2 linked regions of the Oryzias latipes genome follow. The protein of the gene in region 1 interacts with the protein of each later gene in a pairwise test. Links are inferred from orthologs where the notes say so. Each region holds a gene or a part of one and is shown on either strand. Other genes may lie near its edges.

The links.
Region 2: the proteins of ciao1 (region 1) and fam96b interact in binary tests that used the Homo sapiens proteins (3 or more experiments, as listed by UniProt). The two-hybrid records come from large-scale screens. The link is inferred for Oryzias latipes from reciprocal best matches to the Homo sapiens genes CIAO1 and CIAO2B.

What each region holds. Positions count from the first base shown.
Region 1 is NC_019867.2:18,361,211-18,365,798, forward strand, and holds the start of ciao1 (probable cytosolic iron-sulfur protein assembly protein CIAO1), read left to right. Parts: upstream 1-1,522; 5' UTR 1,523-1,798; coding exon 1,799-1,937; intron 1,938-2,047; coding exon 2,048-2,196; intron 2,197-2,265; coding exon 2,266-2,377; intron 2,378-2,468; coding exon 2,469-2,557; intron 2,558-2,726; coding exon 2,727-2,922; intron 2,923-3,013; coding exon 3,014-3,083; intron 3,084-4,085; coding exon 4,086-4,320; 3' UTR 4,321-4,588. Other genes in the region: tmem127 (transmembrane protein 127), read right to left, coding at 1-255, 335-499, 591-828. UniProt on the Homo sapiens protein: Key component of the cytosolic iron-sulfur protein assembly (CIA) complex, a multiprotein complex that mediates the incorporation of iron-sulfur cluster into extramitochondrial Fe/S proteins.
Region 2 is NC_019873.2:4,896,470-4,900,931, forward strand, and holds the start of fam96b (mitotic spindle-associated MMXD complex subunit MIP18), read left to right. Parts: upstream 1-1,452; 5' UTR 1,453-1,569; coding exon 1,570-1,696; intron 1,697-4,462.

The sequences.
Region 1 (4,588 bases):
GGAAAGTCTCGCTGCTGTCCTCCATTTCTGAGAGCAGCTCCAAGGCCTGCTCTTCCTCCTCGGTGGGATAATGGCGCAGGAGGTTTGCAGCAGTGGCTAGAATGGAGGCTCCACCAGCACCTGCCACCAGGTAGAAGCTGATGGCAAAGGTGACGTAAATGAGAGAGCCATGGTACTTTTTGTGTTGCTGCTGCAGTGACAAGATCAGTTCCGATGCCCAGTAGCAAAAGCCTATGACTGTGGCACACTGCAACACTGGAAAGACAAAGAAACCAGTTACATTGTAGCAATGTGTTTGATCTTTATTAGAAATGAAAACAAGCACTGTAGATACCTGTTAGTATATGTGCAAAAGCATATCTGCGAGTTATCTTTAGGGCAGGGTGTTTGGGTCCAAACACATCCAGGAGGAACGCAGTTAGACTGCACAGGATGCCAAGGAAACAGAAGGCAGCTATTACCCTTAGCAGCAGGATGGTCTGCGGATTCACACAGTAATCTGAAAAGACAGACGTGCCACAAATTCATATAAATTAAGGCACTCCATGATCCTCAGCTTAGAGTGGCAACGACTTTGTGCTGGTTCTTACCACCCAAAAGATTGGGATCAACGTATCCCAAGACATCTGCCACCCCGAGTTCTTGTCTCGGGCAGGTGCCTCCGTGAATCCGGAGCCAAGCAGGTTCAGCCAGAGCCGTGCACAGCGCTGTGATGGACAAAGCTCCGGGCAGGGCCGACACTAGACTCCGCTCCGGCTGTTTGGGAAGTGAGGTACCGGCTCTCCTCCTCCGACCTCCGGAGACAGCGGGACCCGGTGGGGCATACATAGCTGACCGAATGGCGAATTTTCTGTTGAAGTGGTAGGTTCCTCTTAGCACTGTCTTCCTCTTGACAGTAGTACCGGGTTATTGTGGTATTAGAGTAAAACTACGGCAATTGTCTTCCAGGATATGTCAAAGATTTCGGTGGCGATAAAAGTGCTCAACAATATAAAAACAACAATAACCGCTTCCCTAAAGTAGTCAAAAAATATTAAGGAAAAGCCAACACAAAGAACAGATCCTAAGCGGGCCTTTAGCTCTGTTGTTAGCCTCTGAAGCTAACTAAAAAAAATAAACACTTTACGTCACCAGTTCTCGGAGGAAAGACACTTTTTAGCGAACGAATGGGAAAAAATATAACCTGTAAACATCAAATCCCGCTGATAAAACCGTCCGTCTCTATGATACAAAAAGGAACACAAAACAAAACAAAAGATAGCTTACGCTGTTTTCCTCAAAATCCCTAACTTCCTGTATATGCCATTCTTCTTCGTGACGTTTAGAATGTTTGCTGTACACTACCGCCCCCAGCGGAAACTAAAATAGAAATGTACACAATGTTTAGCATGAAATTTTCTTTGCAAACAGTAATGTAAATATAGATTCATATTATAAAAATACATATATAGGTAGATCACTTTCTTTAAAAATATATAAATGAAATATTACCATCAAAACGTTTTATTTTAGATCAACCCATAATGCACCGGGTCCAGATCCCGATAAGCAAACATGGCGGCATTTCCTAATTTGACGCTTCTTTGAACTTATCTGTGTGAACAATTTTCCTTGGTTAATTTCCCCCTCCTTTTGTTTTAATGTTCATAAAGGTGTATTAATTTACTCGCAGTCCTCTTGTCTGTCGTTTTCCTCATTTGTGACTCTTTTTAGCCTAAATCTTTGGTTAACGGAAATCGAGAAAAGTGTCGAGTCGACGCCTGACAGACAGAGGAGTCACGTTTGCTGGAGCTCTGCCATGAAGGAGGCTATTTCTCTGGTGCAGAAACTCAGCGCACACCCAGATTCTCGGTGCTGGTTCGTCAGTTGGAGCCCGAGCGGTGCGCTGCTGGCTTCGTGTGGTGGCGATAAGGCCATCCGGATATGGGGACAGGAAGGTCAGACTCAGACAGACAAAGAGCCTTCTATTCGAATTTTGCTACGCCGATTTAAAATCAGTGGTTGGATGACCTTACCTTTTTTACAGTTCATGTTTTCCCTTTTCAAGGTGACTCTTGGGTTTGTAAAAACGTTCTGCAGGACGGACACCAGCGCACTGTGAGGAAAGTAGCCTGGTCTCCCTGTGGGAACTATCTGGCCTCCGCCAGCTTCGATGCGACGACATGCATCTGGAAAAAGAAGAACGACGACTTTGAGGTAAGGTTCGTTTAACCTCTGATCTAACACGTGTTCTGGCTCCACCTGGACTCTTTTCTTGTCTTCTAGAGCTTAACTGTGTTGGAAGGTCATGAAAACGAGGTCAAATGCGTGGCGTGGGCCCCTTCAGGGACTTTGCTGGCCACTTGTAGCCGAGACAAGAGTGTCTGGGTTTGGGAAGGTTTGTGTCCTCACCAGCTCTTGCAGGACAATCCTTTGTCACAGAAAACATATAGAGCTGGGTTGTAAACCTTTGTTTTCCTTCTTCACAGTGGACGAAGAAGATGAGTACGAGTGTGTTACAGTGGTGAACTCGCACACACAAGATGTAAAGCATGTTGTGTGGCATCCCACGCAAGAGGTAGGTCTGCACTCAGTCCTTCACCATCATGTAGTTGTTTTATTATTGTTGCTATTAATTGTTAAAGTGCATCTTTAGCCATATTTATGATCTACGTGCTGTTTTTAATAGAGCCATGGTAACGACGTTTGTGGGATCAATAAAGTTGTATTTTATTCTATTTCCGCAGCTCTTGGCTTCTGCCAGCTACGACAACAACATCTGTATTTACAAGGAGGAGGATGATGACTGGGAGTGCAGGGCCACTCTGCAGGGACACACGTCCACCGTCTGGAGTTTGTGTTTCGACGTGACGGGACAGAGGCTGGCGTCTTGCAGCGATGACCGCACTGTGAAGATTTGGAAGGAGTATCCAAGTGAGAGTGGTGAGAAGATAGAGGGGTAGTTTATGACATAAATAAAAAAAAATAGGATATTTTTTAATCACAGAATGTTTTGTTTGGTCTGCTTTATTAGGTGATTTGTCATGGAAGTGCGTTTGCACTCTGTCGGGTTATCATGGACGAACAGTGTACGACATTGCCTGGTAAGACTAAATACTTACACTACAGCAGGGGTGTCAAACACACGGCCCGCGGGCCTTATCCGGCCCGCCAGGTGGTTTACTCCGGCCCACACATGAAGAGTAAAAATCAAAAGGATGATTAAAAAAGAAAGCAAGTTTCTAGTCCATTCCTGTGGCGAATTATGATTTTTTAAAGAAATAACAGAAATGTGCAATTCCGCCACTAGGGGGAGTAAAGGAAAAGAAAAACAGTTGAAACAGCAAATATCTGCATGTGCCAAAAGCGAAACATAACAGCTCTGCGTCTGGGTAGGATGCACCTTGGTTCCCTATGAGCCTTACCGCTGTTATCTTGCTATAAGGATGATCATTAGCGACACCCTAATGACCAAAATGCTGTCAAACGTGAAGTGGAGGGAAGAGCCTTCCAGGAAAATTGGACAGAGTTTTTTCTTTTTTTCACGAAGCTGAATGTAAAACCCAAATGCTTTGTATGTCATCAACATCGCAGTGCTCAAAGAATATGACATTCAGCACCACTAAGAGACTTATCATAAAGAAAAGTTTCTGGATTGCTTCAGTGTCAGATGTAAAATATTCAGACTGCATTAATTTGAATAGACCAACTTTTCTTTAATTGAAATTAATTTTATTTGAGCTCCATTGGCCCCAAGTGATTAGGCTACTATGTTGATTGAGACATTTTTTCCAACTGAATAAAAAACTAAAACAAAGCTGTTATTTTGCTTTTATGTTACTGGTCCGGCCCACTTGAGATCAGACGGGTTAAATGTGGCCCCCGAACCAAAATGAGTTGGACACCCCTGCACTACAGTCTGGTGTCTGATTTTTTTTTTTTTACTTTAAAAATAGATTCTATTTACAGAGTTTTTAAAAAGTTGCCAAAACAGATTTTCTTCTTTGCTTTTTTGGCTGTACCACCACTAAAACAGCGCTTGTCATCAGTCGGCTGAATCTTTGTCCCCTTTACTATTATGGCTCAAACAACTGTCTGTTGCGTAGGTGTCGACTGACCGGTGCCCTAGCAACTGCCTGTGGCGACGACGCCATACGAGTGTTTAGGGAGGATCTCGCGGCCCATGCAGATGAGCCGGTGTTCTCGCTGGCTGCTCAGGTGAAGAAGGCTCACTGTCAGGATGTGAACTGCGTCGCCTGGAACCCAAAGGAGGCCGGCCTCCTGGCCTCCTGCAGTGATGATGGAGACATTGCAATTTGGAGGTTTCAAGAAGAAGACTGAACCTGCTGTGGAGACACCAGCAATTGGATGAAACCCTGTGCTGAACTTAAATGTTCTTTTCTTTTGCTATATAAAGTCATGCTTATACAGTTATCTTTATAAATCTGAATGATTGTAAAATGTAAAGTTTAAGTTCTATTTTTATTCACAAAAGTGATGATGGGTGTGCTGGTTAACTGTTTTTAGTCCTACAACTTAAAAGGAGCAAGAAACTAGTTCTGTTCTGTTTACATCTAAATACATCTTTATAGCAAAAAGCAGGTTTTCT
Region 2 (4,462 bases), on another chromosome or scaffold:
AGAAAGTTTTGTGTGCAACTTGGTGGCAGAAATATCACTCCATATATTTCAAGCAATCACAATGACGTATCAAACTTGGGATAATTAGACATAAAATTAATTATTGCTTGAAAGTGGAAGGAAGCGAATTTATATAATCCCACCCCTGTTCTACCGTAACCATTTTATTATATGATTTCTCATGTAATAAATTAAGAATCCTGAAGTATCAATAAAGCACATGACAAAGATGAATTACTTAAAATATTATGTAAAAAAATAGATAGGAGAGCATAACCCCTCTCCTATCAAAAAAATGTCTCGAGATGGTAATTCACGCTTTAATTTGTTCCCACTTGGACTATTGTAACGCACTCTACACATGCCTTTCACAGCAGAGTGTGTATCAACTCCAGACTCCTAACTGGAACCAGAATGAGAGATCATATCACTCCAGTTTCAGCGTCTCTGCACTGGCTCACAGTCCATTTTAGAATAGATTTTAAGATTTTAATGATTGTTTTTAAAGCCCTCTGCTGTCCGGCCCCTAAGTATCTGGTTGTTCTGCTTGTTCCTTATGTACCTGGACGCAATCTTAGATCTTCAGCAAAAGGCCTTTTAACAATCCCACAATGCAGATTGAAGACCATGGGAGACAGAGCCTTTGCTATAAGAGCCCCAAAACTCTGGAACAGTCTCCCTCAAGGGATCAGGCTCACTGAGTACCTACCAGTTTTAAATCTCTTTTAAAAACCCACCTCTATATGCGTGCGTTTAATGATTTCACTGGTTCTTAAATTTAAACTTATGATTTTATTGATTTTTAACGCTATCACTGTTTCGTGCTGGGTTTTATTTTTACGTCCGGTACTGTTTTTAATCAGGATTCTGTCTTATGTTAATTGTACAGCATATTGTAATCTGGATTTCAAAAAGTGCTATATAAATAAAGTGGATATATTCAATATATAAATATTGGACACTAATGACAGATGGAGGGATGGATGACGAGTGAATGAAAAGAGTGGCTGGCTTTGCCTCTGTTGAACTTTAACAGTTTAGTTTCTCCTCCGTCTTTGATCCAGTTATGACTGTCTGATCCCCTCCCATCCAGCAGGTGGCGGTATATAGCATCTACATTTCAGGTTTAAGTTTCCCTTTAATGCATTGACTGTATAATTCTCAATTACTGTCACTGCTTTAATGATGAAAAGTCTGTCTACTGGTAGAAATTAGACCGATAACAAAAGCATAGTTAATTTTGTTATTGTATTCAGCTGATATTCTGTACTATTGCAGTTATGATAACTCATTGCGAAATTCGTTTTTATTGGTTTAGTTCAGGCAATAATAATAACAAAGTTATTAATTGTATTCGTTAAACTAATAATAGTGGGTTTGCTGATGGTCTTAGGACAAAATCATTCAGCATTTGTTACTTTAATTTTCCTCGCAGGCTTTTTGTCCGCTGCTGCTATCCGTCATACCCGGAAGTGCTCTGTGAGAAGGTCGACATAATAAAGCAACACGACTCCGCCTGCATACATGGGCAGTTGAATGTTTAGTGCTGATTGACGAACATAGTGAAAAATGTCCGGAGGGTCTCAGCTGGAGAACGCTAACCCCGTCATCTTCCAGCGGTCCGGGGAAAGGCAGCTGACGGCGGCCGACGAGGACGAAGACGTCCATGATCCCATCGACGACCGGGAAATATTTGATATCCTTTTTAATTTAAAAGCACCAACTTAATACAATATTCGTTTTAGTTACAATCCCTGGTATTTGTACGAAATCTCAGGATCTCTTTTTCTTATTTTAAGATTACACAATTTGACAAAGTTTGGCATATATATTCCACAAATCTGATAAAAAGGGCGGTTTGGAGCTTGAAAACATTTAAAGTCCCACTCCGATCATCCTCTGGTCTGTTTTGAAACGTCCCCAGTGGGTTTTTAGTAATGATTATACTGTTCTTAAACAAAATCAGAAAACCTGTGTCGTTTTGTGGGACGTAGTTTCTTCAGAGCGGCAGCAGGAGTTCATTAGAAATGTGACTGTTGGCATGGAAAAAGCCCCCCTCCACTCCCCGTCATCCATCTGTTTACATGCTCTCCCCTAGCTTACAACCACTCACAACAAACCTGGTGAGTAATAATGAAGCTCTCTAGTCGAACAGTTTAGATCCAGAGTCCAGCTCAGACGAGGAAAACAAAGACATACAAACAAACCTGTTTTGTCCCTTACGGGGTCACTGCTGGAGCCTATCCCGTGACGGCAAAGGACGCCCTGGACAGGTCGCCAGTCTGTCTCAGGGCCACAATCACACACACTAACATTCTCACCTAGGGACAATTTCGAGTGACCAATAAACCTATGAAGCATGTTTTTAGACGGTGGGAGGAAGCTGGACTTCCTGGAGGAAAACCCAGCCGGGACTTGAGCCTGACCCCCCCCCCCCCCCCCCCCCCCCCCCCCCGCAGACCTGCAGGTGCATCAGAATGGAGCAGAGCAGGAGGACTGTGGCATGGCCCGCGTATTTTCCACATCACAAATACGATCTTTTCCAAACAGTATAGAATTATTCAGAAACGTGCAATTGAGCTTAATTTTCTCTATATATGTCCTCCATCATGAGAAAAAAGCCACAATAATGTGTTAAAAACACCATTTTCGTCAATGTGGGTTTTTTAAACAGTTAAATTCTTCAAATTGTCAGCAAAAACAGTGAGAAACAGTTGTTTTGTTGTAGCGTAAGGAGGGGGGATTCTTTAAATTGTCATACTATAAAAGATGAGGTCTATTATAGCTACAATTAAACTGTGAGAGACAGAATGTAAAAAAAGGCAGGAAATCACACAGTTTGATTTTTAAATAATTTATTTGTTTAATGATCCAGAAAATAGGCATTTAGTCAATAATTAAAGTTTGTTCCAATACTTCATAACTGGTTTTGAATGACAGAAGTCAAACATTTTAGATTTTCATGAGATTTGAACAAACTTTCGCTGCTATTTTGGCCCATTCCTCCATGCAGATCTTCTCGAGAGCTGATGTGATGATGTGGAGCTGTAGCTGGAAAACACAGATTCTCTGTTGGACTGAGGTCCAGAGACGGGCTAGATCCCTCCAAAACCTTCAAAAGCTTTTTATCTGCTGGTTTCCTGGGTGATGTGTTTGGGATCCTCAGAGCCATCCATGTATCATCCTTGGCGTTTTCACTCATAGCAGGAGGTTTTCGCTCACGTTCTCACTTGACTTCATCCTTTCCTTCATATGGATCAGTCCCCCTGTCCTCTTTATGGTTTCACCCTCATGCTTCACAGTGGGTATGGTATGCTTGGGACTCAACCCAGCATTCTTTCACCCTCAAACACAGCGAGTGGCGTTTATTTACTCTACAATCAACTGCTTCTTTATTGTAGATTGGTTCATTCCAGTTTTTCTTCCAAGTCTACAATTGTGTCTCTGGTGTCCTTTGACAGCTCTTTGGTCTTATCCATAATGGAGAGGTCTCAGTCTGACTGTTTAAGGGTGTGGACAGGTATTTTTTTATACAGATCACCAGTTAATACAGGTAACAAGTGGAACACATTTCATTATACAAATACATTGTTTAAAAATCATATTGTGAATTTATTTTTCCCTCTTTGTTTTGTAGATTCTGTCTCTCTCAGTTGATGAACAATACAGTCTAAACTCATCTCTTTAGGTGGCACAACTTGCAGAATCTTTTTTTTTCTTTACTCCAACTATTTCGAGTCTTTTTCTCATGGAGCCATAAGTTTAATTCAGGCCCGGGGGGGGTTGACGGGTCGGGGTCTCCGCTGAGGCCATCGGCGGTTTCCCCGGCCGGTTGGCTGCCTCGGTCCCGTCGAGGCCTGACCAGGGCTCTTCTAGGGCCGGCGTTTGGGGGTGGGGGCCTGGGCTTGCTCCGGGGGGGGGGTGACGCTTTCTGGCTCCTCTCTCTCTCTGTGGGGTGGGTGGTGCTGGGCCTGGGGTGTCGGCGCCTCCGGGGGTGGGGCACCTGGGCTGGGTGGCCCTGGCCCCTTTGCTGGGGGGGGGGCTGGGGGACAGCTGTTTGACCACTGGGGGACAGTCTACCAGCTGTCCCCAACTTACCCCCTTCCTCATATAACCTCATATTAGGGTGAGGGGGTGGGGGGTCTAGCCTGCGATGCGCCTTGGGGGGGGGGCTACTTGGCAGTGGCCCCCCTCCTATGGTTGCCGTACGGAGTGGGCCCCCCCTCTTTCGGTTTTATTTGCACCTTAGACATGTAGGGTCCTTGGTAGGGGGGGTGCTTGGACATCACTGCCAGCAAGCAGCAGATGTCCTCCTGGCACCCTACCCGCCAATTTTAACCGCACCTTAGACATTTAGGGCCCCTTGGTGGGGAGGGTGAGGGGACATCACTGTGAGTAATCAGGAGATGATGATTAGGAGATCCCCTTAGTGCCCTTCTCGCCAATTTTAACTGCACCCCCC